3 linked regions of the Cricetulus griseus genome follow. The main gene of each other region encodes a partner of the protein of the gene in region 2 in a complex. Links are inferred from orthologs where the notes say so. Each region holds a gene or a part of one and is shown on either strand. Other genes may lie near its edges. The genes, in order: Gdf11, Tgfbr1 and Tgfb3.

What was found.
Region 1: the proteins of Tgfbr1 (region 2) and Gdf11 are in contact, whole or in part, in a crystal structure (PDB 6MAC), measured with the Homo sapiens proteins. The link is inferred for Cricetulus griseus from reciprocal best matches to the Homo sapiens genes TGFBR1 and GDF11. Residues at the interface, in NP_004603.1 of Homo sapiens: Ile78, Pro79, Asp81, Arg82, Phe84, Ala87, Pro88, Ser89, Ser90, Lys91; in NP_005802.1 of Homo sapiens: Phe322, Ala324, Phe325, Gly326, Trp327, Trp329, Ile330, Met382, Tyr384, Phe385, Asn386, Asp387, Ile392, Ile396, Pro397, Met399.
Region 3: the proteins of Tgfbr1 (region 2) and Tgfb3 are in contact, whole or in part, in a crystal structure (PDB 9B9F), measured with the Homo sapiens proteins. The link is inferred for Cricetulus griseus from reciprocal best matches to the Homo sapiens genes TGFBR1 and TGFB3. Residues at the interface, in NP_004603.1 of Homo sapiens: His39, Leu40, Thr42, Lys43, Phe55, Met70, Ile78, Phe84, Val85, Lys91; in NP_001316868.1 of Homo sapiens: Ala301, Leu302, Asp303, Asn305, Tyr306, Tyr350, Leu351, Ser353, Thr357, Thr360, Leu364, Leu368.

Annotation. Positions count from the first base shown.
Region 1 is NW_023276806.1:129,036,397-129,046,322, forward strand, and holds the end of Gdf11 (growth/differentiation factor 11), read left to right. Parts: intron 1-2,310; coding exon 2,311-2,708; intron 2,709-3,268; coding exon 3,269-3,649; 3' UTR 3,650-6,458; downstream 6,459-9,926. UniProt on the Homo sapiens protein: Secreted signal that acts globally to regulate anterior/posterior axial patterning during development. May play critical roles in patterning both mesodermal and neural tissues. It is required for proper vertebral patterning and orofacial development.
Region 2 is NC_048595.1:96,011,576-96,021,554, reverse strand, and holds part of Tgfbr1 (TGF-beta receptor type-1), read left to right. Parts: intron 1-3,306; coding exon 3,307-3,474; intron 3,475-3,873; coding exon 3,874-4,030; intron 4,031-6,143; coding exon 6,144-6,268; intron 6,269-7,484; coding exon 7,485-7,615; intron 7,616-9,873; coding exon 9,874-9,979. UniProt on the Homo sapiens protein: Transmembrane serine/threonine kinase forming with the TGF-beta type II serine/threonine kinase receptor, TGFBR2, the non-promiscuous receptor for the TGF-beta cytokines TGFB1, TGFB2 and TGFB3.
Region 3 is NC_048598.1:117,740,311-117,750,146, reverse strand, and holds the end of Tgfb3 (transforming growth factor beta-3 proprotein), read right to left. Parts: intron 7,754-9,836; coding exon 7,646-7,753; intron 6,101-7,645; coding exon 5,929-6,100; intron 3,450-5,928; coding exon 3,296-3,449; intron 2,358-3,295; coding exon 2,199-2,357; 3' UTR 1,130-2,198; downstream 1-1,129. UniProt on the Homo sapiens protein: Transforming growth factor beta-3 proprotein: Precursor of the Latency-associated peptide (LAP) and Transforming growth factor beta-3 (TGF-beta-3) chains, which constitute the regulatory and active subunit of TGF-beta-3, respectively.

The sequences.
Region 1 (9,926 bases), on a different chromosome or scaffold from region 2:
GCCTCTCCTTACTGCGATCCCACGCCATTCCTCTGCTCATCTCCTCTAACCTGCCTCATTCTGACCTTATCGTCTCCAACCTCTTCCCTTCTCTACATCTTGTCCCTTAGAAACATGAACTGTCTGCAGATACACAAAGATGTCTGTGTGGGTTCCCTGTGGTGGAGATAGAGGAACCCATGTCCAAAGGAACCAGACTTAGGAATATCCCATTACCCTGTCTCAGCTTTAAGTGGGCTGCTTCGTTTATAAGACGAACATTTATTGAGAAACCATTGTTATTTTTTGCATTCCTTAATGCATAGATATCGTCTGTATCACAGTGGAAGTATGGGGGTAAGGTTAGATACTAGGCAGCAAGTCAGGCAGTGGTTAAACTCACTTTGGTTGCTGCTAGAGAAGAACCTGCAATCCAACATGTGACACAGAAACTATAATGATGACAAAATAGTCTCAAGACAAGTATGAACCCTCAAAGAGATAAGTATCTAATGGCAAGAAACAGATAGTTGTACCCGGACCTGGTGGTACCTGCTTGTAATCGCAGCTACTTAGGAGACTGAGGCAGGGATTTCTGAAGTTCAAAGACTCAAGTACAGAATTTAAAGCCAGCCTGGGCAACTCTGACTCAAAATAAAGATGGGTGGGGAATGTAGCTCAGTGGTAGAATGCTTGGCTAGCAGGTATGAGGTCCTAGGTTTGCTCCCCAGTAAAACACACACACACACACACACACACACACACACACACGTAGGCACAAATACCCTATGCTGTAATTAGATGTGGTGGTATGCATTTGGATTATTGTCACTCTGATCTCATCAGTATCTTTCTTGCCCCAAACTACCCTCCTAATCTCTGAACTTCCATTCCTCATCCCTACTCTACTTTAAGGGAGAATATCAGAATCTGGGATCTTGGAAGAACAAAGGGAAAAGATGCTGCAGATGGATATGGTGTGTCATGATCTGAGTATATAGTCATTAAGTGCTTTCTCCCTCACCACATTTGAAGACTCCTCCTCCTGAGGAGCTATCCAGAGACAACAGATGCTAAGTTCTCCGTGATTGTACAAGTATTATATTTGGGTGTGACAGGCAAGGGCCTAGACATCACCATACTTACATGGCTCCGGAAAAACCTCATTCCATTCTTCCTGTCTACAGTGAGAATGGACATACCTGTCCAAAGGACACATAATTTAGGGCATCTCTAACACACTTGCCAAGAGCTAGGAAGAGCTAGGCATTGTGGAACATGCTATAATCTCAACACTCGGTAAGATGGGGGGGGGGGGAACACGACTGCTGTGAGCTGAGGCCAGCATGGGCCACTTAGTGAGTTCCAGAACAGCCAAGGACACATAACAAAACTCTGTCTCAAAACAAAGACTGAAAAGAGCTTAAGGAAAACTGAGAGGAGCTGGAATAGAAGTAGAGGGATATATTGAGAACCATCCTTGAGAACCTTTAAGATCTTGAGCAAGGGAAAAGGGCCAAAAGGTAACCTTCGAAAAGACAAAGAGGCACCTGGCTGAGCAAACAAAGGGAACTCAATGTTAAAAGGATTGACGTGGTGTGTTAAGTGTTCTTCCTGATGCTTTGGACAAGTAGGACACTTCACGGTCTTTCTTTCCCCCAGAAGCTGAGTTGAGTGTCTTAGCTGGCAGTGAGGAAGCAGCAGTGGAGAGACGACTGAGGAGTCAGACACACAGGGAAGGCTTGGTAGTTCCATTCTGTAAGGTGTGCTACTGGGAATAGGGAGCCTAGATCTGAATTCTGGTTTACTTTATAAATTTAGCCCACACTCCACCTCTCTGAACCCTGGGCTATTTCCTCTGATGCTTCCTTTGCTTTTTTTTTTTTTTTTTTGGTGGGGGGTTGGGGAGTGCTGCCAGGCTCCACCTGCTCACTAGACAAACCAGGAAGAAATGGGGAAAGGAAACTTGAGGACATATAGTATAGTAAAGAAAGGTAGAGTAAAGAAAAAACTAGAGACCACTTGAGCAGCACCAGAGGCAGAAAAGGCTTCAGGTGAGGGAGACTTGGTAACCACCGTAGCAGGTCATTTGGTAGATGGATCCTCTGTGTTAGGAGAAATGGTATAGGGAATGAATATAGATCAGTAAGGCCCTAACAAATTTATCATCCTAGAGATGAGATCTTAGGTACGAGAGACATAGTAGCTAACCAGACAGGCACAGGAGATCTGGAAAACAGGCTGAGAAGAATCTGCTAAGGCCACCCAGGGCTGCTAAACCCTTCCACAAACACCCTTTGCTGATGCTGTGCCCCCTTCTCTCTTTATCAGCGGACCCTGCAGTGCAGACAGATGGCAGCCCTCTCTGTTGCCATTTCCACTTCAGCCCCAAGGTGATGTTCACAAAGGTACTGAAGGCCCAGCTGTGGGTGTACCTTCGGCCTGTGCCACGTCCAGCCACAGTCTACCTGCAGATCTTGCGACTGAAACCCCTAACTGGGGAAGGGACTGCAGGGGGAGGGGGTGGAGGCAGGCGGCACATCCGTATCCGTTCACTAAAGATTGAGCTACACTCACGTTCCGGCCACTGGCAGAGCATCGACTTCAAGCAAGTGCTACACAGCTGGTTTCGCCAGCCACAGAGCAACTGGGGCATCGAGATCAACGCCTTTGATCCCAGTGGCACAGATCTGGCTGTCACTTCCCTTGGGCCAGGAGCTGAGGGGCTGGTGAGCAGGGGGCCTGTAGTGGTGGTGTGTGTAGGAGATGGGGGTTAGAAAAAGTAGATCAGAAATATGGAATTGGGGCCAGGAACTAATTCTGTAGGTGGAGGTGGGGTGGCAAACTATCACTTTTCATGGTTTTAAGCCAGGATACAGCTGAAAACTGAAACTTGATTTGGGGTGTAGGTGTTAGTGGGAGACCCGTGGGAACACAAAACTGACCCTTGTCTGGGTGGGGTGTTATCTAATCCTAGCACTAAGGAGGCCAGCTTGAGCTATGTGAGATCAGTATCTTAAATCAAAACAAAAAACCTGGCCCTTGATGATCCTGGCCCTGGGCCAAGGATCTCATGAGGTCACATTGCCAGGAAAGGAAAAATTAGGGAAAGGGAACAGAAGAGATAGCTAGATGGCAAAAGGAGTGGGTAGGTTGGTCTGTGGGTGGGAGCAGTGAACACACAAAGATGTCAATGGTTTCTGATCTGATGCTCCTTTTGAGATGCAGATAGGAAAGAGAAACTGTTCAGGGCTATGTCACATCTCTTTCCCCTCTCCCTGACCCCCAGCATCCTTTCATGGAGCTTCGAGTCCTAGAGAACACAAAAAGGTCGCGGAGGAACCTAGGCCTGGACTGCGATGAGCACTCAAGTGAGTCCCGCTGCTGCCGATACCCACTCACGGTGGACTTTGAGGCTTTTGGCTGGGACTGGATCATCGCACCTAAACGCTACAAGGCCAACTACTGCTCCGGCCAGTGCGAGTACATGTTCATGCAAAAGTATCCACACACCCATTTGGTGCAACAGGCCAATCCAAGAGGCTCTGCTGGGCCCTGCTGCACCCCTACCAAGATGTCCCCAATCAACATGCTTTACTTCAATGACAAGCAGCAGATTATCTACGGCAAGATCCCTGGCATGGTGGTGGATCACTGTGGCTGCTCCTAAGGTGTGGGCTACAGTGGATGCCTCCCTCATAGACCCTACCCCAAGAACCCCAGCCCTGGTCCCCATTCCCCCAAGCCCTAGAGCGCCCTCCACCTCTTCCCGTGAACACCACACCTTGTTCCCTGACCAAGCAGTGTGCAATACAACAGAGGGAGGCAGGTGGGGATGGAGGGGTGAGGGTTGGGAGAAAGGAAGGGCAGTCAGGGTGGAATGTATCTGAGATTTGCAGGTGAGAAGGTTTGGCAAGAAGACAGGTATAGAGACAGAGGAAGAATGATAGAGAGAGAGGGAGGAACAAACAGAGCAACACTGAGAAAGCAAAGGAATAGAGGCTGAAGATAAGAGTAGGTGAAGATAGACGAGGAGAAAGAGACTGAAATGGAAGAAAAATGAGAGTCCTGCCTCAAGCCTCCTTTTTTTCTACCAGCAAGGCGAGGCTTAGTATAGTTTGGGGAGTTCCCCTGACAACTCAGTAGGAGTAAATCAAGTCCATTCCTAGCTTCTTTCTCTCCTTCCAACAGCAGCCAGAAGTGGAATGAGCATGGGGCAAAGGACCTGGGAGTTTTTTATTTATTTATTTATTGTGACTTAATTTTTTTTTTTTTTTTTTTTTTTTTTTTTTGGTATTTGGCTTTACTGGAATGGGAGGGACCCTGCCCACTGTGCCCCATTGGCCCTTACTCCACAAACCCTGCTCTCCCGCATACCAACCTACTTAAGCACTTGTATTAAGCCTCCAGGGTTGGGAATGGGAGTAAAGGGCAAGAGGGCTAACACATGGAAGCTTCTAACCCATAATCACCCTAACCAACCTTCTTGAGCCAAATGGGTTGAGCTGAGTGGTCATGGAAACAGAAAGAAGTTCAGACTTAAGAGCTGGGGGGAGGGGAACCTCAACATCCAGGAACTATGAGAACTACTAAACTACCCCCCAGGCCACCTACCTTAATCTCGGTATTTAGCCAGGGGGTACAGCCTGCTTATTCCCAAATTCCCCTCAGCCAAGAGACCAAAGAGCCTGTGGAATGCCCCTGCTCTCAGCCTCTATCTTCAGGTCAATAAAAATTAGAAATCCCAGAGTCCCCCAGGTCTGGGAAGGGTTAAGGGTCAAGAAAATAGTAAAGAGGCTGAAGGTTACAGGGCATCTGAATCCAAATCACTGCTCTAGGCTAGGGAACAGAGCCAGGAGACCAAGGTGGAAGGGATTCTGAAGGGGGACATTTTAGTCCCCCTACCCCAAAGCTCAGGGTGGAAGAAGGGAGAACAAGGGAGCAGAGTGTCTATAATTTTATCTTTTATTTTTGGAATATAGCAGTACCTGACAGCAGGGAGGGGACAGTACAGGCATGTGACAAGGCCAGTTACAACAGAGGATGGGAGGATGGAGAATCCGTGGTTTGGAAGGTTTAGGAAGCAGGCAAGCGATTAGCTGCTACTTCATGTCACTAACTGGGCCCATCCGTTCCTCCCACAATCCTGACCCACCCTCCTCTGGACTCACTGTGCCTCCGTTTCTTCCCCTTGATGGAATGAGAAACAACAGCACCCGCCACAGTCAAGAGATGAATTCTGAGCACTTACCACGGGCACTTTATGGACATAAAATACCTCTCGCTGTGGGACTAGATAACCAGGGCACCACCATGGTGGTGAAGAGACGTGAGGCTTAGAGGAGTCACAGGCTGCAGAGCACAAGTCCCCCCTGCCTCTCTGCTGGACAATGCCTGAAGCCAAGGAGTTGAAAATCTCCACACCCTAACCATACCTCACCAGTGGCCTCTTGGCTCCAGACAAGAGTCTTAAAGAGGGTTCAGGAGTGGAAGTGGCAAAATGGTCATGAGTAGAGCCAGCCTTTATGGTAGAGAAAGTACTGAACTGAACCCTGGCCAGGAAGGTCTGTGCTTCCTAAGAGCATGTTTCTCTCACTTGGGCCAGACCATAGGAAGGACAAAGGTATGTGACTATCCTTGGCACTTAACTCCTATTCTCATAGTGAGAAAAGGAGGTAAGATGTCTCCTACGAGGAATGGACAAGGATTGTTAAGCCTTTCAACTCACTTCCCATGTAGAGGCTGTCAGTCCCAAGCCTCTCCTCTCTGGTCCCCTTCTTCATTCTTTTTGTCTACTCCATCTTAAAGAACAAGACACATTTGACCATCAACACCAACCACACTTCCTTAGTGGAGGAGAGGAATAGAAAAGCAGAGAGAAGATGCTTTCCTCCAAGGTCAAATGCCTCTTGATCTTGGAAAAGGTAAGGGTGGGATAATTAGGTATCAGGTAATCTCTATAGTTTAGAGAGCTGGGGCATTAAACTTTAAATATTGCCTCTTTATTACCACCAAGTAAATACCTTTCCAGAGGGAAAGAGTTCTCTTATGAATACAAACCTGAGTTAAGTCTCCTGGTCTTTTTATCCCCTAAGAGGCTTGAGGACATGGCCTAGCAGTTCAGTGGGACTGGCACTTCCTACACCTTACCTGTGTGGACTGGCCAGTGCTCCTCCTAAAGTATCATTGTTAGTGTAATTCTTTACTTTGTGTATTTGTTACATCATGTGTGTGATTGCCTTTGTTTGTTAAGGGTGTTTGAGGAGTACGGGCTGACAGGGGCACTGGAATGCTAGGAAAGGACTTCACTGACATCAAGGTTTCCAGGAAGGAACCATTGCAAAAAGGCCATCAGAGTTATGTGACAGAGGGCAAAGATGGCCATAGGGTGCTCTGAGTTTTGGGAGAGTCACATAACACAATCCAGCACTTGAACCTGAAAAAAGAAAAATAAAAGCAGTCAAAGAGTTTAGAGTTGAGCAGTGGGTTCTTCTCCCTGATTGAGCGTCACGTTTATACCAGGGAGACTAAGAACTAAAGAGGCTCTCAGAGAACCTTTTTAAGGAAAAAGGACTAAGAAGATGAGGTCCATGGGGCAAAACAGGGAACCCTAAGGGCATGGGGAATGATGACAGGGACACACAGACTGAAGATGGACAGAGGCTGGGAAAGGGAGACGGCAGTCCCAAAAATTATGACAACATCTAGTCCCCCACAGAATGAAGAATCTAAGCATTGAAATGATCTAGCAAAGAGTCTCTTGCTTTTCAGTCCTCTAATCCTGGCTGCCTCAACAGTATTACCAAAATCAAGCTGGCCGCTCCCCATTACAGTTAGGTGCTTCTCTGCCCATTAGCTCTCTCTGTCAAAGCTTTCCTGAGCTAGACTAAAGGGGGCAATGCCTGGGCCTCTCCTCAGTTTCACCCACCTGCAACCCCCCAAAAGAAGCCAGACTGCATAAGCATTGAGTAAGCATTTATATATACAATGCCAATATGTATACAGAGGCCAAGATTAACCCACTCAACACCCTACCCCCATCCATTAGCTGGAACCTACTTGTTGGGGCAGGGGGTTCCTACTTACCCTAGATTTCAATTTTACTCTAGTAAACTTCAGAGCTAATACTCACTGGAAGATTTTATGTTGTGCTTGCTTTGGCAGCACATATACTAAAATTGAAACAATACAGAGAAGATTAGCATGCCCCCTGCACGTGGATGACACGCCAATTCGTGAAGCGTTCCATATTTTTGAAAAACTTTGTTTGGTTATATAAACTATAGGAAAAAGTAAAAAAAAAAAAAAAAAAGACTACTATGTAAACTACATCAGGAATGTGTGCTAAGCACATGATAATGTCATTTAAATCTTACTATATTTAAATCACAATAGTTTGGAAAGAGTCACAGAGCCATTAAGTAATTTGCCAAATCAGGATGATCCAGAAGTAGAAGGTAGAGCAAGGAATCAAACCCAGGTAGTTCACATGCAATAATGTTTTAATCTGTTTCATCTGTTGTTAAAAGATATTAAGAGGTGGAAAACTGAATTCAGGGACAACAGAAAGTGAAAAAATTGAGAAACACCTTGGATCCAAAGGGTTTGGCAGGGTACAGAACCTTTTCCAAAGTCTTTCAAGAGAAAAAAAAAAGTGACTTTAGTGATGGGGATGTAGCACAGATAATAAGAATGTTTGCCAAACATACATAGAGTTCCTGCCCAGCATCTCATGAAACCAGGCATGTTGGCACAGGCCTGTAATCCAAGTCCTATGGAGTAAGAAGCAGAAAGATCCAGAAATTCAAGGCCACCCCTCAGCTTGCTTCATAGCTCATCTGAGGCCAGCCTGGGCTATAAGAGACTTTGTTTCAAGAAGAAAAAAAGAAAAGGGAGGTTAGATTTTGGAGGGCTTAATAAACAGGAAGTAAGTACCACTGTTTATCAGAGGCCTTGTACAAAAGAGCAGTTAAGAAAAACTTACATGTAGTTCAAAGCCAGCCTGGTCTACAGAGCTAGTTCTAGAATGCCAAGGCTACACAAAGAAACCTTGTCTCTAAAAACAAAACCAACAACCAACTTATTCTAGTTGAGCATGGTGGCACACACCTTTAGTCCCAACACTCGGAAGGCAGAGGCAGGAGGATCACTGAGTTCTTGGCCAGCCTGGTCAACAGAGGGAGCTCCAGGATAGCCAAGGCTACACAGAGACACTGTCTCAAAAAAAAAAAAAAAAAAAAAAAAAAAGAAAAGAAAAGAAAAGAAAAAGTCACCGTCTCAACTATCTCAATTCCCTCCTCCCCGTTTCTCACATCAGACTAACAAGTCTCAAAGACTCTTGTACCTTCCTTCCTATAGCATTCACCCATGACCCTTTGAGCATTCTTTCTACCTTAAGCAGTTCTCAGAGCTGGCAGAACCATAAAAAGGTATAGCTTTATAGCTAAGGAATCCAATCCTCACTGAGGCTTGCACAGACCAGACCCCTTAAAAGCTTCTGGGGAATATCGATGCTCCATCAGGACTGGGAGAAGGATGGTGCCTGGGTCCCAAACCCAGATGTCTGTCTAGCCAAACAAAATGGACTTAGGTTTCAAATACTCAGTAAAAATTTGGGCAATCTGAGCGGGGTGTTGGTGGTGCACACCTTTAATCCCAGCACTCGAGAGGCAGAGGCAGGCGGATCTCTGTGAGTTCGAGACCAGCCTGGTCTCCAGAGCAAGTGCCAGATAGGCTCCAAAGCTACTCAGAGAAACCCTGTCTCAAAAAACAAAAAAAAAAAAAAAAAAAAAAAAAGGCACTCTGATCTACTCGAGATAACTGTGTGGAATGACTAAAAGGACACAGAAAAGGATGTTCAGGCTTAGGAGAATCCAGAAATGGAACAAAAAGGGCTAATCAAAATAAAGCCAAAAGTGGTGGTATACACCTTTAATTTCAGCATTCAATAGACAGAAGCAGGTGAACCTTGAGGCCCTATTTTTTGGTTTAAGATTTGAGTAAAGCAAACTAAAACAATGAATATACCTTACAAGAAGACCTGGGGTGAGTCAGTAAATGCCTGATGCTCAAGTATAAAGATCCTGAGTTTGGAGCCTCAGTGCCCACATAAAAAGCTAGGTCTAGTAGCATTTGTCTGTATCCAGCCGAGCTAAATCAATGAGCTCAGTAAGGGGCCCTGTCTCAATAAATTAAATGGTGAGCCATCAAGGAAGAAATCTGATGAGGATCACCAGCTTCAACAGGTACACATACCCACCACATGAACACATGAATACATCACACACCCATAAAAGTAAAACCACAACAAGAATCTTAGCCAGGTGTGGTAGTAATTCCATTACTATTAATAATCCTAGCACTCAGGAGGCTGATGTTAAAGGATGCTGTGAGTTTAGAACCAGCCTGGACTACAAAGTGAGACACTGTCTCAAAAATGAGGGGTGTGGGGCCGGGCGTTGATGGCGGACACCTTTAATCCCAGCACTTAGGAGGCAGAGGCAGGCGGATCTCTATGAGTTCGAGGCCAGCCTGGTCTCCACAGCGAGTGCCAGGATAGGCTCCAAAGCTACACAGAGAAACCCTGTCTCGAAAAACCAAAAAAAAAAAAAAAAAAAAAAAAAAAAAAGAGGGGTGTGGGAAGAGCAGAGAGAACCCTGGGTTAACCTGAGTATGTCTCTGCAAGGTTACGGAGGATAGAGAGATAAAGATCAGAGCTGGGCTGTGGTGGCACACACCTCTAAATCCAGCACAAGGTGGGGGTGAGGGTTTGGATTGGGCATGACAGATCTCTGAATTCACAGCCAGCCTGGTCTACAGAGCAAGTTTCAGGATAGCCAGGGCAACAGAAAGAAATCCTGTCTCAAAAAATCAAAACAAACAAACAAAAAAACCACATGTACCAGGAGTGACTTTAATACCAACATTCAGAAGACAGAGGCAGGTAA
Region 2 (9,979 bases):
CCCTCTCTGACACCATCCTCACAGACACACTTAGGGTTTGTCTCTGAAGCTTCTGGAATTACAATCAAGTTAACAGTTAGAGAGTACACGCTGACTGGTTTTCATTGGTTTCCTAATATACACACTAGTTGTGTGGTAAACTTTGTAAGCTGTCACACCAGGAGGCTTATGGTGTGTGATTGTGGTAGAAACAGTAATGGATAATAGGCTGTGATTATCGTGGCTTCCAACAATTCAGTATTTAATTGAAAAACAAAGAAGTAAACTGAAGTAGTAATCACAATCTGACTGCCCCTGGCTCTCATTTTTTTCTGTTTTGACTGTTTGGTTCCCTCACACAACTATTGAGGTATTTTTGTATTTTTTTTTTTTTTGTCTATATTTTCTTTTTTTAAGGTTGCCACAGCTGACTTTGAACTCATGATCTTTCTCACTCCATCCCCAGTGCTGAGATTACAGTGTGTGTCAATACCAGCCTACTTTTATTTTTTACAATTTGTTTTTCTCAAGTCTTATTCTTCTGACTGATCTGTAAGAAGGCTGTGATTCTACAAACAGAAATTGTTCCCTTAAAGGACTTACCCAAATTTGTGATGTCTAATTCTATGATGGTGGTGACTCTTGTTTACACTTGAAGCTTAACCCCCTTTTAGGTTTATTTCAGGCATGTTCCAGGTTACAACACATAAGTGCAAATCGCTGAACCTGTTGTGCCCTGAAGTGTCATTTGTTCAAGCAGTAGTCAAGTGGATGCTGTCATCTGGTGGTCACAGTGGGAACTAACTGACCCTACTGGCTTTCTCCTATCCCTTTTTGCTTCATTGGGTGTTAATGAGCAGAACCTAGACTTCCTACCCAGTTCTCTTTATCTTAATCCTCTTGATTTGGTTAATTTTGCCTAGGCCAGCCTTAAACAAAACAAAATAAAGATTTATTTTTAATTATATGTATGTGAGTGTATCTGTGTGTGGGTATCCCTGAGTACAGGTGCCCAAGGAAGCCAGTTGCATAGGTTCTCCTGGTGATGGAGTTATAGGCAGTTGTGAGCTGCCCCAATAGGGTGCTGGGAACTGAACTCTGATCTCAAGAACAATATGCACGTTTTTTTTGTTGTTGTTGTTGTTGTTTTTGTTTTTTGAGACAGAGTTTCTCTGTGTAGCTTTGGCGCCTATCCTGGCACTCGAAACCAGGCTGGCCTCGAACTCACAGCAATCAGCCTGCCCTTGCCTCCCGAGTGCTGGTATTAAAGTCGTGCACCACCAATGCCCGGCCTCAGTATGCGTTCTTAACTGCTGAATCATCTCTCCAGCCTCTTCTTGCTCTCATTGTATGTACAGCCTCTTCCCTCTTCTTCCCTGGTTGGATACCTCAGGAAATCTCCCTGTCCTGCCCTGTTCTCTATCTGTTGTAGTTTTGAACTTTCAGAACTTTCAGAGCACAGTTACAGTTAACAGAGATGCACATGAGCTAGTAGTGTACCCATACCAAGAAAAAGACTTTAGGAAATTCAGGAAGAACAGTTCAAAAAAGAAAAAAGAAAAGAAAAGAAAAAAACTAATCAGTATTCTTTGGAAATACCAAGAAATAACTTTGCATGTGGCTAAAAAGATGACTCAGAGCCCAGGTTCAACTCTTAGTACCCACATGGTGGTTCACGATTGCCTGTAACTCCAGTTCCAGGGGATCCAGTACCCTTTTCTGGCCTCCATGAGCACCGGGCACACAAGTGGTAAAACACTTTCATGCAGGCAAAACACCCAAACATAAAATAAAATGAAAAATAAAGGATTCTCCAGATTCTGTAGTTCTGTCTTTTTTCTTGATCTTATCTTCCCCCTCCCCCTGCCCCTCTATAGATCTTATTTTATGTTTTCTTTTGTTTATAGCTATTAGGGATCAGCATATTTTAAGTTCTCATGTGCCAAACATTGTATTACCTACTTTAAAAAGAAATCTAGTTCTGTATTCTCTTTGACATCCTAAGAGTCTTCAAAGTTGTTTGGTGTTGTATAAAAGAAGCATAACCCCATTGAGAAACTTGTCTGAGGCCATGGAATCAATAGCATACAGATCCTAGATTGCTGCCTGGGTCAGTATGACTTGTTTTAGTTAGTTTTTTAATGCTGTGGTAAAATACCATGACCAAAACCAAAATGGGGACTTCAGGGTTTGTTTCAGCATGCATATCACAATCATTGTCCACATGAAAGGAAGTCAGAGTAGAAACTGGAGGCAGGAGCTGAAACAGAGGCCATGAAGGAATGCTTTTTTTTACTGGCTTGCCTCTCCATGGCTGGCTCAGCCTACTTTCTTTTAGCACCCAGGACAAGCGTAGGGGTGGCACTGCCCTTAGGTGAATGCCACTGCTCCCTCCTTCCCCCCCATCATTCATCAGGCTCATCTACAAGCCAACTTAGTGGGGACATTTTCTCAGTTGAGATTCCTTCTTCCCAAATGACTCTAGCTTATGTCAGGTTGACATAAAACTAACTGTATATGACTTAAGGGTATATCTTTTACTGAATTGTGCTGTCTCTTGTTTTCACTTCTCAGTTAAATAGCATTTAACTAGCATCCTTGCTGTTACTCCTTTGAGAAAACACATTTCAGATGCATGTATCAGCTTACCAAGGAACTCTTAGTACCCACATTCCACTTTGTGTAGGTTCCAAATCACTTTGTGTAAAATGAGGCTCAGTCTTAGTCTTTTCAGCCTTCTCTTCTGACACTTCAGTTCCTGTCTCAGCATCAGAGGTACCACTATTTTTGTTTATCTGAGGTAGCAACATTGAAATTATAATCAACTAAATAACATCTCTGAGAACTCTACAGTCTGTCGCTAAAGCTTGTCAATTCTCACCAAAGTTTTCTCACAAGCTATATTCCATCTATGCTGAGACTGTGCTGGGCTCCCTGGATGTTTCTCATTCCTACTCCCTGCTGCCCTTCTTCCTCCATAAGCAAACAATGAACACTAATCTGACCCAGGTACCTTTCTAGGCTCCAGAAGCCCCAACTCTGCTACTCTGTAGGATGAAGAAATCAACATTGTTGGAATATGATTCCTTTGCTCTTAAATTATTTATCCTTGCTGTGTCTCAAGAATATGGGGTATATTCTGAGGGTCGAATATATGCACATAACAGTGTATAAAATTGAATATAAGAATGTGGAAGAAATTCGTGCAAACTTAAGGTGACATCATATTGCAGTTGTGTGATCAAGATTGATAGTGAAAAGTGATAACAGCCTGAGTAGGCTCTAAGTGCTTTGCAGCCCAACTGAAATGTGTGTTCTGATTTGCAGACAATGGCACATGGACTCAGCTGTGGCTGGTGTCGGATTACCATGAGCATGGGTCCCTTTTTGATTACTTGAATAGATACACTGTTACAGTGGAAGGGATGATCAAACTTGCTCTGTCCACAGCAAGTGGTCTTGCCCATCTTCACATGGAGATTGTTGGTACCCAAGGTAACTTTCTATAATTCCTGTTATTTATGCTTAAGTTCCTGTGAATATAATACGTATTCAAAACTTGAAACCTAACTGGAAATGTGTAGCTTTTAAAAATTTGAATGGTTTTCCAATGAAAATCTCAGAAGTCTGGAGATTTACTTAGAGATCAACAAACAAACAACTTTTTCACCTTAGTTTTTTAGTTCTTAGATTTATATTGTCTGAAGGTTTAAACAAAACTTCATCCCTTTTGACACAGTGATTCACTGAGGTTAGTAGTAGTTCTTATAGTTGTTATAGTTGATGTAGCTCAAGTGCCTTCATCCTGGGACAGGCTAAGCTTTGAGATCTAAAAGTAAATTGTGATTGGTGTCACTTGTTAAGCAGTCATGTCTAACTTTTGGTTTCCAATAGGAAAGCCAGCTATTGCTCACAGAGATTTGAAATCAAAGAATATCTTGGTGAAGAAGAATGGAACCTGTTGTATTGCAGACTTGGGATTGGCTGTGAGACATGATTCTGCCACAGATACAATTGATATTGCTCCAAACCATAGAGTAGGCACTAAAAGGTACACTTAGGAATCAATGGTGTTTAGTAATGCCTTATGTCAACTTCTTTTCTTTCCTATCTCTTCAGAAACTCAAACTTGGTCCTTTATTAGACTGTTGACACGCTTTTAGAGTCTTTGCTACTTTGAAACCTCGTTACCTAACTTAAAAATGAACCTGTTGATAGAGCAACCCTTCTAGAAAGTATTATCATTAACTAGGTTAATTGTAAGAGCAATAATGTCTTAGTTAGGGTTTCTATTGCTGTGAAGAGACACCATGACCACAGAAACTCTTATAAAGGAAAATATTTAATTGTGATGGTTCGCTTACAGTTCAGAGGTTCAGTCCATTATTTTCATGATGGGACATAGTGGTGTACAGGCAGACATGGTGCTAGAGATTTACATCTTGATATACAGACAGTAATAAGTGGTCTGTTTCACTGGGTATGGCTCGAGCATATATGAGAACTTAAAGCCCTCCTCACAGTGACACACGTCTCCAACAAGACCACATCAACTCCAACAAGGCTATACAACCTAATAGTGCCATTCCTTTTAGGGGTCATTTTCTGTCAAACTACCACAAATAATAACTAATAGTCATCTATAACTTGCTATAGTTTCTACTGTAGTAAGCCTGTTTTCATATTTTCTGTTGTCTTTCTTCCTTAGAACGTTTGTGTATGCTGCCCTTAAAACATACATCCCCCTTAATAGCACTCCTGACTCAAGGAAGCCTTTTTTGGTCCCCAGGACCCTTACATGTTCCTGGCATAGCACAATGATAAATGACTATTTGAGGGAGGCATTTACTTAACTGTTCTCACATTATATTCTAACTGACCATTTATGTGTCTGGGTCTGTGTATTCCATTGGATTGCAAGAAGCTTAAGAGCAGTTTTATGTTCCAGGTACTTGTTGAAATGCCAAATACACTTTTATATTTGCATTCATGCGTTCTCAAAAGAACTTCCATAGATAGGTGTCGTTACTATTAATTCAACCACCTTGTTGGTTAAATAAAGTAACCCACTTCATGTGGCTGACAAGCTGATATGGACTCAAAGTCTTACTGTGTTTAAAAAGCACTCACAACCTTTCTTCACAGCTAATGTCTTGAACTTGGAGAAAGCCAGCAGCTTTAGTCAATCCAAATATAATTACACTTTCTGGGTTCCAGGGGGACTGGCTGAGGGAGCCTCAGTAGTGGTCTGAAGGACCTGTAGCTGTAGTAGGATTTTAGAAACTATAGAGCTGGGCAGTGGTGGTGCACAACTTGATTTCCTGTACTTGGAGGGCAGAGGCAGGCCGACTTCTGAGTTTGAAGCCAGCCTGGTCTACAGAGAAACAGGACAGCCAAGGATACACAGAGAAACCCTGTCTCCAAAAACAAACAAACAAAAAAGAAACAAACTTCAGAACCCAGTAATTGGTAATGTAGCATCATCATGACTGACATTCCTTTTATCTGTTTGTCCCTTTCTTCTTTCCTGTTTTTTTTTTTTTTTTTTCTGTTTTGGTGAGGAGGCTTCCAGATTAAAATATGTAGTCCCTAAATAGTAGATGAGGGTGATGTACATTAGGGTATTGGTAACAGCCACAGCTGTTCAGTGTGTGCCTTTTATAAACCTTCATCAGAAGGCAGATGGCATGGAGCTGCCATTTCAGCATTTCATGAGATTTAGTCAACATCATTAATTTGCAAACCAGTTTAGATACTTAATATTTGCTTGAGCCTGATATGATCTCAGTTATGTGATAGTTTTGTGCATGTTTAAGGAGGTCTGACCCATGTTAACACTTGTGGTAAGGGGGTGATTTTTTTTTCACCTTGTACTTTATATACTTGGGAAGTTTTTTTTTTTTTTAATAGGAAGAGTGAATCATTTTTAAAAACAGAACTATAATAAAAAGAGAAGTTTTCTTGGTGTGATAGTGTACACCTTTAATCCAGACCCTTGGGAAGCAGAGGTAGGTGTTTTTTTTAGCAGCTTAGTATATATAGTAACTTTTCACGGGGGCTTCATAGTGAGACCCCATGTGTCTTTTTACCAGAAGTAAAAGACAGTGTATGAGACAGTAATTAATATGTTTTGTAGTGGACTGAAATGCTGGCTTCTTTTTTAGGTACATGGCCCCTGAAGTCCTAGATGATTCCATAAACATGAAACACTTTGAATCCTTCAAACGTGCTGACATCTATGCAATGGGCTTAGTGTTCTGGGAAATTGCTCGGCGCTGTTCCATTGGTGGTAAATCGCTCTCCTTTCCCCAGTTATCTGTCATGAGAAATTAGTCAAGAGTTTTCTTTTCTCTTGACTGAAATTTTACTGTCAGCAGTCTGACAGGTGACCACTGAGAATGTCACAGGAACAAAAGATAAACCTCACCAACACACAGCTTTTATCCAGAGTCATGTTCTGTTGCTATTTAGTCTCAGAGAGTGTCAGAACCTAGCTTCTTGTTATTTTGGATTTAGTTGTTTGAAAGGCCACCTGAGAAATTGCTTTTAGTATGGACTCAGCTACATCTTTTTTTTTTTTTTTTTTAACACTGGTTGTTTTCTCCAGCTTGATTGTTGAGGATCCTTAGACATATAATGACAATTGCATTATTAATGTTGCGTACTTTGTAGATTTTGTTTTAACTTTTGGTTTTATATTAGACTGAGAACTTGTCAGTGTTTGCTCAGACACTGTCTCTTAGGCTTAGGAATCTGTGTGAGACTTAGAACTTGAAAGTTTGAGACAGTGATGTATAGAGTATGCTTGGTGTTATAGCATAGGACATCAGATTAACAGGCACAAGCAGAGGAAGGGACTTGTGGGATTCACATCTCCTAATAAGAGTATATCCGCATCTTCTGTCTGGTGGAGTTGTAGTCAAGAGTGTCAGCCTGGTTATCACAGCACACTAGGTTCAAAATGGCCTTGATTTCTTTTCCATTGCTGTAGTACAATGCTCCGGCAAAGGCATTCTAAGGGAGGAAGGGCCCGTGGTTCCAAGTTACAGCTACCATAGAGGGAAGTCACAGTGGCAGAAGCTTGAGGGAGCTGGTCACATGACATCCACAGTCAAGCAGCAGAGAGCAGTGAGTGCATGCTGGTGCTCGGCTTGCTTTCTCTATTTATACACTCCAGGATCCCTTGCCTATGAAGTAGTACTGCCCATAGTTAAGATGTGTCCTCCCAATCAAAATAATCCCTCACAGGCATGCCCACGGGTCTGTCTTCCAGGTGATTGGTAGATTTTGTCAAGTTGACAACACTATCCTTCACAAAAATTGCAAGCCCAGTGATGACTCAAGTAGGTGGGTTATTGATGCAGATGTGGGTGAGATACATAAATTTGTGAACCTCACTTCACCTACTGGATGTAGAGATGGGCCACAGTAATGAGCCTCTCAAGTAATCCTTCCAGTGATGTGGCAGGAGCTGATTAATTTGGATTTTGTTTTAACCAATACAGGAATTCATGAAGACTATCAGCTGCCTTATTATGATCTTGTACCTTCTGATCCATCAGTTGAAGAAATGAGAAAAGTAGTTTGTGAACAGAAGTTAAGGCCAAATATTCCCAACAGATGGCAGAGCTGTGAAGTGAGTGTTTCCTTTTGATACTAGGCTATTTACTAAACTGTTTCTACTTAGGAGGCAGAAATTTGTCACTCTTCTATAAGGAAAAATTCTTGGTTTCTTTTTCTTTTTCATAAACAAATAAGTAAAAATAGAATAATTTGTTTCTTGAGACTATAAAAAGGGCCATGAAACATTTGCAGTGGTCAGTGGTGTCTGGACATTGTTAGATCTGCCATATGAAGTCAAGTGCCTGCTGTTGAAATGAATGCCTCCCTTTAGCCAATGTAGCCCAAGCACTATGACAAACACTGGGCAAGAATGTAGAGGACTGTCAATGCAGGCTTGGGTCCTTTCAGACTCAGATGTGGGCAGGCTGCATCAGTTCTCTGGAGCTTAGCACCCTTTGTAAGGTGAGGAGCTTCAGTACGGTCTTGCAGAGCTTCAGATGTATGACCTGTATTCCTAGGATTCAGTAGGACTACTCCTCAGGAGGGAGGGAGGGGGTACTTTCCAACAGTCTGGGTACAGGTTCTATTGACAGCTGTTACTAGGATGATAGTGCAGCAGGATGTGCCTTCCAGACTTGATGTTTTGTAGATGAACTTTCAGAAAAAGAAAGAAGAGTTGGACACCTCAGAAGTTCTCCACTGACATCAGTGTGCTCCCTCAGGTGTGACTGAGTTGGTAGAGTGCAAGATTGGCATACCTGAGGTCCAGGGATTGCTCCCCAATACCACTTTAAGGCAGGGTAGTGGTACACAGGTCTTTTAGTCCAGTATTCCAGAGGTAAAAGCAGGAAGAACAGGAATTCGAACTTAACTTCAGCCAGCTTCTGGCCAACCTGGGCTTCATGAAACCCTGTCTCAAAATAGCAACAATGTTAGAGCTCTTCATGGGGCCCCAAGGAATTATACCACGGTGGTATTTTGTGATTTTAGAAGTCCCTCACGTACTTTTGTAATTTCTACAAAGTTCTACTGTTTATTGTTGGAAAAATACCAAACATAAACATTCCTAGAAAAAATGTCCAGGTAGGACACATGCCCAAATGTTAATGCATGGGGAAAGCAAGCCTAAAGAGAAAGGCTGCTTTCCTTTTCCTTAAGATTTTCTTAGAGTAAAAAAAAAAATTTGTACGACACCTCAAGCAAAATGTAATGTGTAGACCCAGAGAGGAGCAAGCTGAGTGTGTTCAGGATCTTCATGTGATAGAACTTGACAGATGAGGGTGTGCTTTGGGTAAAATTATCTCTGGGTACTTGAGAACTCGGACTTGAAGTACACACACACACACACACACACACACACACACACACACACACACACACACACACACACATATTTAATAACTGAAGCAGTTAAAGACAGATGGCCTTTAGGCAGGAAGAAATTGGTTAACATTAAGAACATGTACAGTGCACAGTTACCATTACAGTATGCTGATTAATGCCATCATTGTATGTTATTTTCTCAATATGGTTACTAGTTTTCTGTGTACTTATTGCTATTTCAAATGACTAAGCGGTTAAGAGCACTGGCTGCTCTCCCAGAAGACTGGGGTTCTGTTCCCAGCACCAACAGGGCAGCTCACAGCTGTCTGTAACTCCTCTTCCAGGGGATCTAATTCCCACATAAAGACATACTTGCAGGCAAAACACCAATGAATATAAAATAAAAATAAATTATAAAAGCCTTCATTGAAACATGTAAGAGTATGGAACTGGCTAAGCTTGCTGGCATAGGCCTCTAATCCTAGCTGATCAGGAAGCCAGCAGGAAGGTCACAAGTTCAAGTCTTGCCTGGGCTATAGAGCCAGCCTTGGTAATATAGTGATAGAGATAGTCTTTCTTGGATAAAAACCCTCAAGCCTTGTGCTGGGATGGTGGCTAACGGACTCCTAGCTGTGAAATGTTGGAGTGGACAAGTGCTGGGGTTCCAGTACTTCTTCCTACTTTCCACCCTCAGTTGTCTCTAAAGTACTTAAAAATGAGTTAAGTTCTCACCCAGTGTCTAAGGTAGCAGTGTGGGTCATTTCTTTGGCTCAGTGCTGATTCAGGATTCAGCCTTTTGAGATCTAAGAAAGCTCCCCTGTCCAAAGCCTTTCCAGCTGCTGGCATCTGGATATTGATGGAACCTTAAATCTGCATTTGCTACTACAAAGCTAGAATAGGAACCTTATACATATTTTTTTTTTTTACAAAGTCTTAGAGGGATGTTCTTCCTAGATTAATGGCAAATGGTATGTATGTATTAATTATTTTTCTTATATTTTCTTGTAGGCCTTGAGAGTGATGGCTAAAATTATGAGAGAATGTTGGTATGCCAATGGAGCAGCTAGGCTGACAGCTTTGCGAATTAAAAAAACATTGTCACAGCTCAGCCAAC
Region 3 (9,836 bases), on a different chromosome or scaffold from region 2:
CTGCCTGCATGCCACCTTGCTCCCTGCCATAATGATAATGGACTAAACCTCTGAAATTGTGAGCCACCCCAATTAAACGTTTTCCTTATAAGACATGCCATAGTCATGGTGTCTCTTAGCAGCAATAGAAACCCTAACTAAGGCAGTGGCCAACCTCAAGAGTTGGGTCTTGAACTCAAAACAAGGTTCGCACACACTCATACATCCTTCAACCTGCAGGCTTCAGCTTTAGTCAGAGGGGTGCCTGTGCCACAGTGGTCTTGCCCCATGTTGGTAGCTTTCAAGAGCTAAGACCAGAGGGTCCCTTGCTCTGCTGGCTCACTGCAGAGGCTACTGTAGATGGATGCTAATCCCTGGTGGAATTCTGTATTGCCTGGGGATCTTTTGCCTCTAAAGAGGCCATCTATCTGAAAATGAGTTTCGGTTTAGTTCTGATAACACAATCTGCCTCATTTGGAGCCATTTGCAACGTATGGCTCCTTGAATGCTTGACGTGATTTAGAGGCAGAGGTGAGATTTCCAAAACTGGTGGCTTGTATCATTTAGACTGAATCTACATGGCACATTTCTACCTGCAAGGGTGTACACCTTACAGTACAGTTGTCCTGAGATTTGATGACCATGTTTTCTCCGTGTGTGTGTGTGTGTGTGTGTGTGTGTGTGTGTGTGTGTGTGTGTGTGTGTTCCTCTCCACCTTATTTCTTGAGACAGTATCTTTCATTGACCTGTGATTTCAGCTAGACTGGCTGGCCAGAGAGCCTCTAGGGTTTACCTGGCTCTGCCACTCCCTCCCTCCCCAGGACTAAGATTACAGATGGGTAAGGTTATGCCTGACTTTTGCATGGGTGCCAGGGAGCCATACTCAGGTCCCATTTGCACAAGTCACTTGCCCCAGACACAAGATTGCTATACATTTTTCCACATCTAAGTCACTGTCTCAATGTTTGAGAATAATGCACTCTGCAAGAGGGAAGTGTGCCCAGACAGTTGTACAGTCTTCACGGGTGCTGGAGGCAGCACAGTGAGGCCAGTGTGTTCATGCTAAACAATGAGAGATTCTCTGCCCCGATTCCCGTTATCTCTGGCGAGTAGATGCCAATGTGAAATTAAGCAAAGGACACTTGTGGAGTCTGACATACACCTTAGAACGAGGTTTTTACTGTTCTAGAAGCAACCTTCCAGAAGATGAAATCATCCATGATTCCCCAAAAATATTTATTTATACAAAGATTTTGAGAGTAATATTTGAGTTCGTCTTTATACCTCAGTCTGTGCATCTGGGGCCAAATCACCGTGTCAGACACGTGCAGCCACCCCAGATACTATTGCATGTAGCACCTGCTTCCAGGAACCCCAGGGGAGCGTGGAGTCTAAGAGGGTAAGAGGGAAATGATCCCTGATGCCCCAGGCTGCGTGGACCCAGAATCCAGAGAGCGAACCCTGACCTGGAAGGTGTCTAGCCAAATGTCCACGGGCAAATATGACCAAGGAAGAAGGCGAAAGGAGAGGCCCCGAGGGAAGACACGAGAGAACAAATTCTGACCTTGGCTTTTGAATTGCGCATCTCCAGAGGATCCGAGATAGCTAGTTGCTAGCCCAGAAACTAATTGCATTATTTGTCATGACTCATGATGATGCTAATTGGCATGAGAGGGCAGTCTGCAAAAAGAACAGAGTGTCCTTCGTCCCAGGCAGTGCAAAAGATGATTCTGGGGGACTTCGTCTTGGTGACCTGTCTGAAGAAAAATGCTTGCCACCTCTAACGACATCCCGATCCCCTAGAGCAGATGTGGTACTTGAATGGGCAAAGCTGACCTCAGATCTCAAGTGCCTTCCAGTCTGGCCCTCACCTAGCCGCCACTCGACCCCATGTCCTCCCTAGGGTAGCCCTAACGAGTCCCATTACCCCACACCCTGTGGGCTCACCATCCCTTCTCTACCCCACCACCTCTGTCTGCACCACAGAAATTCCATGTTCTCAAGAGTTTGCCTTCCCCTAACCAACCCACACTTTCTTTACCACAGTGATTCTCAGAGCTAGCAGAAAGAAATGTTCCAGAAGGAAGCCTCCCTCTCGGCCGTTTGCCAGGAGCCAGGGCTCGTGGGCTCCAGGCCTCTAGACTGAGGTCTGTCACTTTGGTTTCCCAAGGAGCCGCAGCCAGTGGTGGCAGTCTTCCTTCCTCTGTCGCAGGCTGGCCTCAGCTGCACTTGCACGACTTCACCACCATGTTGGACAGCTGCTCCACCTTGGGGGTCCTGCCAACATAGTACAGGATGGTCAGGGGCTCCAGGTCCTGCGGCACACAGCACGGAGAAGCCGATGCCTCCGGGTTCAGGGTATTGTACAGTCCCAGCACCTATGGATGGAGTCACATATTTAGCAAAAGACAACCAAGCCTTGAGCCTGTACCCAAAAAACTGTGACTTCTGGTGGAAGGGGAGCTGTTCTGAGTGAGCATGTAGCAGAGTGGTCATGGAGGCTGTTTAAGATGCATTGTGGGAACAGTTTGGATGAGAGACTAGTTGCAGTCATCCAGTGGGGCAGAGGCAGACTGCCACATTGCTGGGGATTTGCAATTGATAAAAAACTCTTGGCTGCTAAGCAAAAGGTATTGGTTACTCTAAGTTTCCACGTTGGTGGAAAATGTTCTCACTCACCACTGCCTAGGCACATTTGTTAATTGCCAGAATGCGTGCCCCAGACAGGAGGCAGCAGCAGTGTGCTATCTGAAAATGGGCTTCCCAGATGACTGCCCTGCTCTCTGTCCCCCTGGAGGAAGGCAGGTTGCAGAGGTATGGACCCTCCACTCTTTCTCTTGCTATTGTTTCCTAAGTGCTTTAAGCTGTCTTAACAGAGATGGAAACCTCTCTGGGCCCCACATCCGGCCAGCCAGGTGTGCACATCTATGACACAAAGTGGCATGTGACAGTTGAATAACTTCCACGGTACAAAGGAAATAAAAGGGATGCTTGAAATTATAGTAGGAACTCTGCATGTGTGTCCATGTGTGTCTGTGTGCATGTCCATCTAAGTATGTGTGCTAGAGACTGAATCCAGAGCATTGCACATGCTAAGCATACTTTTTACCAGTGTGCTAGCCCCTGCGGTAGGAGTTTAGATTTCAGAGTGTGACTGAGTAGAACTGGGCCAGCCTGCCAAGATCTGAATGTTATTACAGGGGTTTTGCTCATCCAATATTATCACTCAAGATTCAGTCTTTTCATTCACTCCTAGGGATAAGTAGCCTAGTCAGTGGTGCCCCAGTGCCCAGAGAGCATGCACCCTGCTCCATACCGTGCTATGGGTTGTGTCTGCACTGCGGAGGTACGGGCAAGGGCCTGAGCAGAAGTTGGCATAGTAACCCTTAGGTTCGTGGACCCATTTCCAGCCCAGATCCTGCCGGAAGTCAATGTAGAGGGGGCGGACACAGCAGTTCTCCTCCAAGTTGCTACAATAAAAACATGTATAGGAAATAAACAAAAAGAGAGAGAGACTGACTACAAAAAGTTAACATATATCTTTCTATTTCTCCTTGCCGTAAGTACTACTGCCATCATAGGAGGTAACCCTAGTCCACCAAATCCCTGGTTCAAGTGTGTTTGGTTACAACAATGACTCCCTGGGAACCTGAAAGGGGCTATCAGGCCCCTCCAATCCTGTTGTCTGCAGAAATTCACTTAGCAATCCCTCCTCAGTCTGGGCAATACCGTGAGCTTCAACAAGTTTCTGAAGACAACATGAAGTCACTGCTTCCTAAGGCAACTTTGGCCAAAATCTGATTTCTTATAGATTTTAAGACTAAAACATAGCTGGGCATTGTGGTGCATGTCTTTAGTCCCAGTACTTGGGAAGCAGAGGCAGGTGGATCTCTGTGAGTTTGAGGCCTCCTGGTCTATAGAGTGAGTTCCAGGACAGCCAGGACTATTACAGAGAAACCCTGTCTCAAACAAAACAAACAAAAAAGACCAAACCATGATAGACTCCATTGTTTACCTTTTAAATAACCATTCCTAACCCAATTCTTCTATGACTCCTTCCATTCCAGGGATACTCAATTTCCTGGCCACCCTTGAAGGCAGGGGTGGTCATGTGACCTGATTAATGGCCAGTCAGAACTAAAGAAGTTGGCAGGGAGTAGGACAAGTTCTGGCAAAAATACTTGGTTATTTAGAAAAATAACAGCTGGGACAGGAAGGCTGTTGGTTTTTCCCTCCCTTTATTCTTAAGCACAAACAAGTCACCTGGTGTTCTAGAAAGCCCCATGACCACAGGCAAGAAGCTGAAGAGTCGGCACACTAGGCAAACCAGGAGAGATCAGAATGTCTATCTCTTCCAAGGGCAAAATCAAGCAGCTAGACCAACCTCAAGTCTGCCACAAGAAATCCCCTAGGGCTGAAGTTACTGTTGTCCACAGCTAAGTGCATTCATCCTGGCTGACAAATAGATACATGGAGCAAACCTACAGCCAGCCTTGGAATGGGTGGTGGCAAGCACACACCACCTCTCCCATTGTTTCCTGAGCTGGCCATCTCTAACAGTATATTTAGTTGTCCCACCCCAACTCCATTCAGGCATCTTCTCTGGCCAATTGACCCTTTCTGCTGCTCCTTTCCCTGGAGGTGCCACCCCCCAACCCTGCTCTTGGATCCCTATACATCCAAACCTCACCCATCCTTTGCCCAACTCCAGCCTTTCCTGTGTCCATGGATGCACCCCCAGGTCCCAGTGTGCAAGATCCGTCAGACCCCCTCCCAATGTCATTTCTTCCTGTTAGCCCTGGGTATGTAGGCTCCCTCATCCCTCCCACATCTGTGAGCAGTCCAGCTGTTTATAAAGAAGAGAAGCAGCAGGCTAGGCGGTGGCAGTGGTGGCGCATGCCTTTAATCCCAGCACTCGGGAGGCAGAGGCAGGCAGATCTCTGTGAGTTCAAGGCCAGCCTGGTCTAAAGTGGGAGTTTAGGACAGCCAGGGCTACACAGAGAAACCCTGTTGTGGGGGAGGGGGTAGAAGGAAGAGCCGGAGGAGGAGGAAGAAAAAGAGAAAGAGAGAGGAAGAGGAAGGAAGGAAAGAAGGAAGGAAGGAAGCAAGCAAGCAAGCAGGAGCAGCTTCTGAAGGCAGGTCCCTTCTGAAGCCATTGGTAATATCTATAATTCAAGAGCTCCCCCATGAATGGAGACATCCTACATTGCCCATCCAGTAGCATCCTCCAACCCTGCATAGATGTGATGGATCCTGTTAACTGTCAGCTTGAAATAATCCACCATCACCTGCGAGAAGGGCTCTGGGCATGCCTGCGGGGATTATCTCGATCACATCAATTGAGGAGGGGAGACCCACCCCCGTGGGCAGGACCATTCCCTAGGCAGGGGAGTGGGAGAAAGTAGCATTCAATTTTCTCCTCTTCGGCTGAATATAATGAGAGCAGCTGCTTCAAGCCCCTGATACCCTGATGTCCCCTCCGTGATGGACATAATCTGGAAATGTGAGCTAAAATAAGCTTTCTCTCTTAACGCTAATGTTTGGTGACTATTTTATCGCAGTAACGGGAAAGAAAGACAATAGAGAACCAAACTCTTTTTCAGGGGACTCCTGCATTAGTCTCCCCCTCGCGCCCCACCCCCAGCCCTATATAAACACACCTTGCTAGCACTTCAGGCAGGAAGACCATGAGGAGGCTTTCCCCAGGCATCGCCAGTGCCAACATCCCAGATTCTCCTCCTCCATTACTTTATCCAGACCTGAGCAGAGCCAGGCTACAGAAAATTCTGGGATCCCAGAAAAACAAAGAGGTTTGGAAGAGATTTCCAGTCTTCTTTCCTAGGCACATCTGTGAAAACTACTGGAGACCCTTGGCTCAATGGGCTCAGATCTCAAGCCAGTGCCACAGGAGGGAAGGTTGACCTCACTCCCTATAGGGCCAAGGCTCACCGGAAGCAGTAATTGGTATCCAGGGCCCGCTTCTTCCTCTGGCCGCCCTGGCCTGGACTGTCCAGTCGGTGTGGAGGGATCATCATGAGGATCAGGTGAGGGTTGTGGTGATCCTTCTGCTTCTTGAGGCGCCCCAGGTCTCCCCGGCCATGGTCATCTTCATTGTCCACTCCTATAAAGGGAAGCAAGGCCACAGCCTTCTGTCTAAGATAAGTAGTGTCCTTGCAGGCTGCTTCCACACCCTGTCTCAGCCTATCACTGCCCAGTCAGGATGATGGATGGCACAGTCTATGAAGGAGGAGGACACAGGACAAGTCCCCTCCCTCTCCATCCCCCACCCCATGAGAAGGCACAGACTGAGTGGAGCAACCAGCATCAGTAGTACTCAAGGTTACCATGGATACCCTTCCAGATGCCGTCACAACTCTGCACAAGAGTGCCTTGCCCTTCCTGAGATGGCTGCATCCGGGGCTCCCTCATGGAGCTGTGAAGTATCTCCCACCACTAGATGGGCACCTATCACACACTTTGGGGCTGCCACTAGATTCTGAGAGTCATTCTGAGACTCTGGGTTTCCTGCTAGAGTCTGAATTTGTCAAGATACCACAGAAGTCCCATCGAGAATTGACAGTGTCACAGTTTGAGATAGCCTGTGTGGGAGCCAAAGAAACCAGACATAGGAGCTGTTGCCATTGTCACCTGGGGCTTAGAGGGTCAGGGGTGTTTTCACTGTAACATTCAGATGAGGTAATAGAGCGTAAGACAGGCTTGGGAAGAGAGCCCAAATTCAGCTGAAAAGGAGAAGCCTAAATTAGAATTATTGTTCTACTGGGGAATCTCGTTTGTGAAGGACAGCCGCTGGCTGCTGACCATCCTTACCAGGGCAGGAGCTCCAGAAATGTAATTTACACGAGGAACTTGGATCTTAGGGAGGGGCTTTCGTGTATATAAGATGAATAGGAACCCTAGTTGTGTAGTCCCCTGTCCCGTTTGAGGTGGGGCCCATTCAGAGTAAGGGATTGCTGAGGTCCAGGCCCAAGATCTACGCTAGGCCAAGAGCAGTGTTCACTTTCTGGCAAATGGCCTGACCACTGCATTTCTCAGTTGCCCAAAATGGAGACACAAAAGGAAAAGAGAGTTTCCCTGAACCCCAGAAAAAAAATGCACTTATATTAGACATTGAGATTGTAAAGCCTGTCAACTATCATGCCAATGCTATATAAACGCATGTGGTCAAACACTCAAGCGGGCAATCAACCGTCTTAATTCAGATAATTCTTGGGCAAGGACCAAGAAGGTCCAGCAGCATCTGAAAGCTCAGGGAGTCAGGGCACTCATGTTCAGGCCCACTGGAGTTCATTTCCTTGAGGAGAGGGGAAGATAGCTCATTGGTTGAGCATGCATTGGCTTAGCGGTGTGTATTTATTACCTCATTTTGTGTGCCGAGCTTATGAAAGAGGTGCTCTTGTCCTAGTTCCCTGGACAGCTGGCCTGTGTGATTTCATCACTCCCTAGAATCCTGCTGCCTCTTAGATGCTAATGTATTCTGTCCAAGAGGAACTCGGGCCATACTCAGGGCTTTGAGGGCTAAGCAAAAATCACCCAAGCACCAAACGGCCATCTCTATGAGGGAAATTGGTCCTTTTCCTTGGGTTCTCTAAGGGGTCCCCTATTGTTTTATCCATTTCCTCATCCCACCACACCTCAGCATCATTACCTTTGAATTTGATTTCCATCACCTCGTGAACATTTTCCAGTATGTCTCCATTGGGCTGAAAGGTGTGACATGGACAGTGAATGCTGATTTCCAGACCCAAGTTGGACTCTGCAAAATAAGGCCCAGAGTCAGGGGGAAAACACTGAGTGACAAGGCAGCACACCCACCATCTGGGCAAGGGTGAGAAGTGAGTTATAGTAAGAGTCACGGGTGACAGAAATTGCTTCCAAACCCCAGAGTGAACCTCCTGCACAGGGTGCCACAGTCTTGTGTATTTCTGTTACATTATGAACGACTAGTAGCAGGCATATTGGAGGCAGATAGAAATAGTCACCCATTTTCAAAGGATACTATAAAGAGATTGTTGCCTACAAACATGGGGTAAAAGTGCAAGGGCACACAGGGCGTTGGTGGCGCACGCCTTTAATCCCAGTACTTGGGAGGCAGAGGCGGAGGATCTCTGAGATCCAGGCCAGGCTGGTCTACAGAACGAGTTCCACAACAGCCAGGGCTGTTACACAGAGAAACCTGTCTTGAAAAACCAAACAAAGTGCAATGACACAAGAAGGAAAGGAAAAGCTCACACCGGCTAGGTGTCTTCTGGGAGAACAGGTATTTGAGTCAGTCTGCAGAATAGGATAGAAGAACCAGGGATTGGGGGCAGGGCCTAAGGTGAGTAACTAAGGAACCTATCGGCAGAGAGGTATTTAAAGGCCACAAAATGGAAAGCTGAGTGTCAGGGGTGGGGGAGACGGGTGGGAGTGACAAGGGTCGGGGTGAGGGAATCAGAAATCAATGCTAGAAGTTACACTACTCGAGATTCAGGGTTCTTGTAAATAATGTCAATATTGCTGCCATCACCGTGGAGATTAAGAAAGTAGTTATGCCAGAGGATGTACGAGGCAAACTGTGGTTATACTTGGTCATATTTTCTCTAAGGAATAAGATTTAGTGAGATAAAAATGACTTGGGAGTTTCTTTGAGAAGCCTGTCACCACGATGGGAGGTTGGGACTGGATGGCTGCATGGGGACACAGGTGTGAACACAGAATGGTCAGTCTATCAGCAGTGGCTCTAGAGAGCTATGCTCAAGGGTCCAGATGACCTGAGTTCAACCGAACGAACTTGGGGAAACCTAGAGGTGCTGGGCTTTGTTGATGTTGAGTTCCAAAGGGCCAACTCAGGCCTTTTCTCCTCTTGGCTGTGGGCTGATGTTTTGGTAAACAAAATCGAAGCAACACTTTGAGAAAAGGGGTCGGGTGAAGTAAAGAGAGAAAGAAAAACAGAAGGAAATGAAGGCATGGACAATAGTTCAGTCTTTAAAGGGCCTGCTACACAAGCATTCAGACCTGAGTTCAATTCCCAGAACCCATGTAAAAAGCCAGGAGTGGTAATGCATGCTTGTAATCCCAGAATTGGGGAGCCACTTGGTGAGCCTCAGATCCCAATGAGAGACTGTCTCCCAAAAAAAAAAAAAAAAAAAAAAAATCAATGTGGATGGCTATCCTGAGAACAGCAGAGGGGGTTGACCTCTGGCTTCTACATGTATGTACAGACACATGCACACACTTGCATGTATACACACACAAATACATGTACACAAAGTAACTAAAAAGTCTGACCGAATCAAATAGTCACAGAGAAAACCAGGCTGGTATAGTGTCAATCCTGGTGGGTTAGAGCTCTGTGCATCCTAGGGCAGCAGCTAGCTGTGGCTGTTGTAACAGAGATCACAAAAGATGGACCTTTCCAGGTGAACATCTCAGTGAGACAATTGGCTTACTGTTCCCTGAAGTCACCTTAACAGTCATCTGGTCTCGGGACCAACTGATGTCTGCCTAAAGTCTACTGTCATCAGAGAACACCCCAAAATCCATTTGGTTCAGTACCCTTCTCCCAGGCAAAACTGGTATGGGCAGGGTGATTCCAGTCACCATGGTGGTGAGCCTGGCATCCCAAGGATCCAGATGACATGAACTCAGACAAAATGGTGAGGAACTAACTCACTTCCTCCATAAACCCCAATGTCCAACCAGTTCTCCTTATTCTGTCCCAAAGAGAACTTCAAGGGCAGCTGTTAAGCTTGAAGGTCTCTGTTCCAGGTCTGCTCAGTCATGGAGACAAGTCGGTATAGCCAGGCAGCTGAGGGACAATAGAGGAGACATGACCAGGCATGACGTCTGCCCTCTTC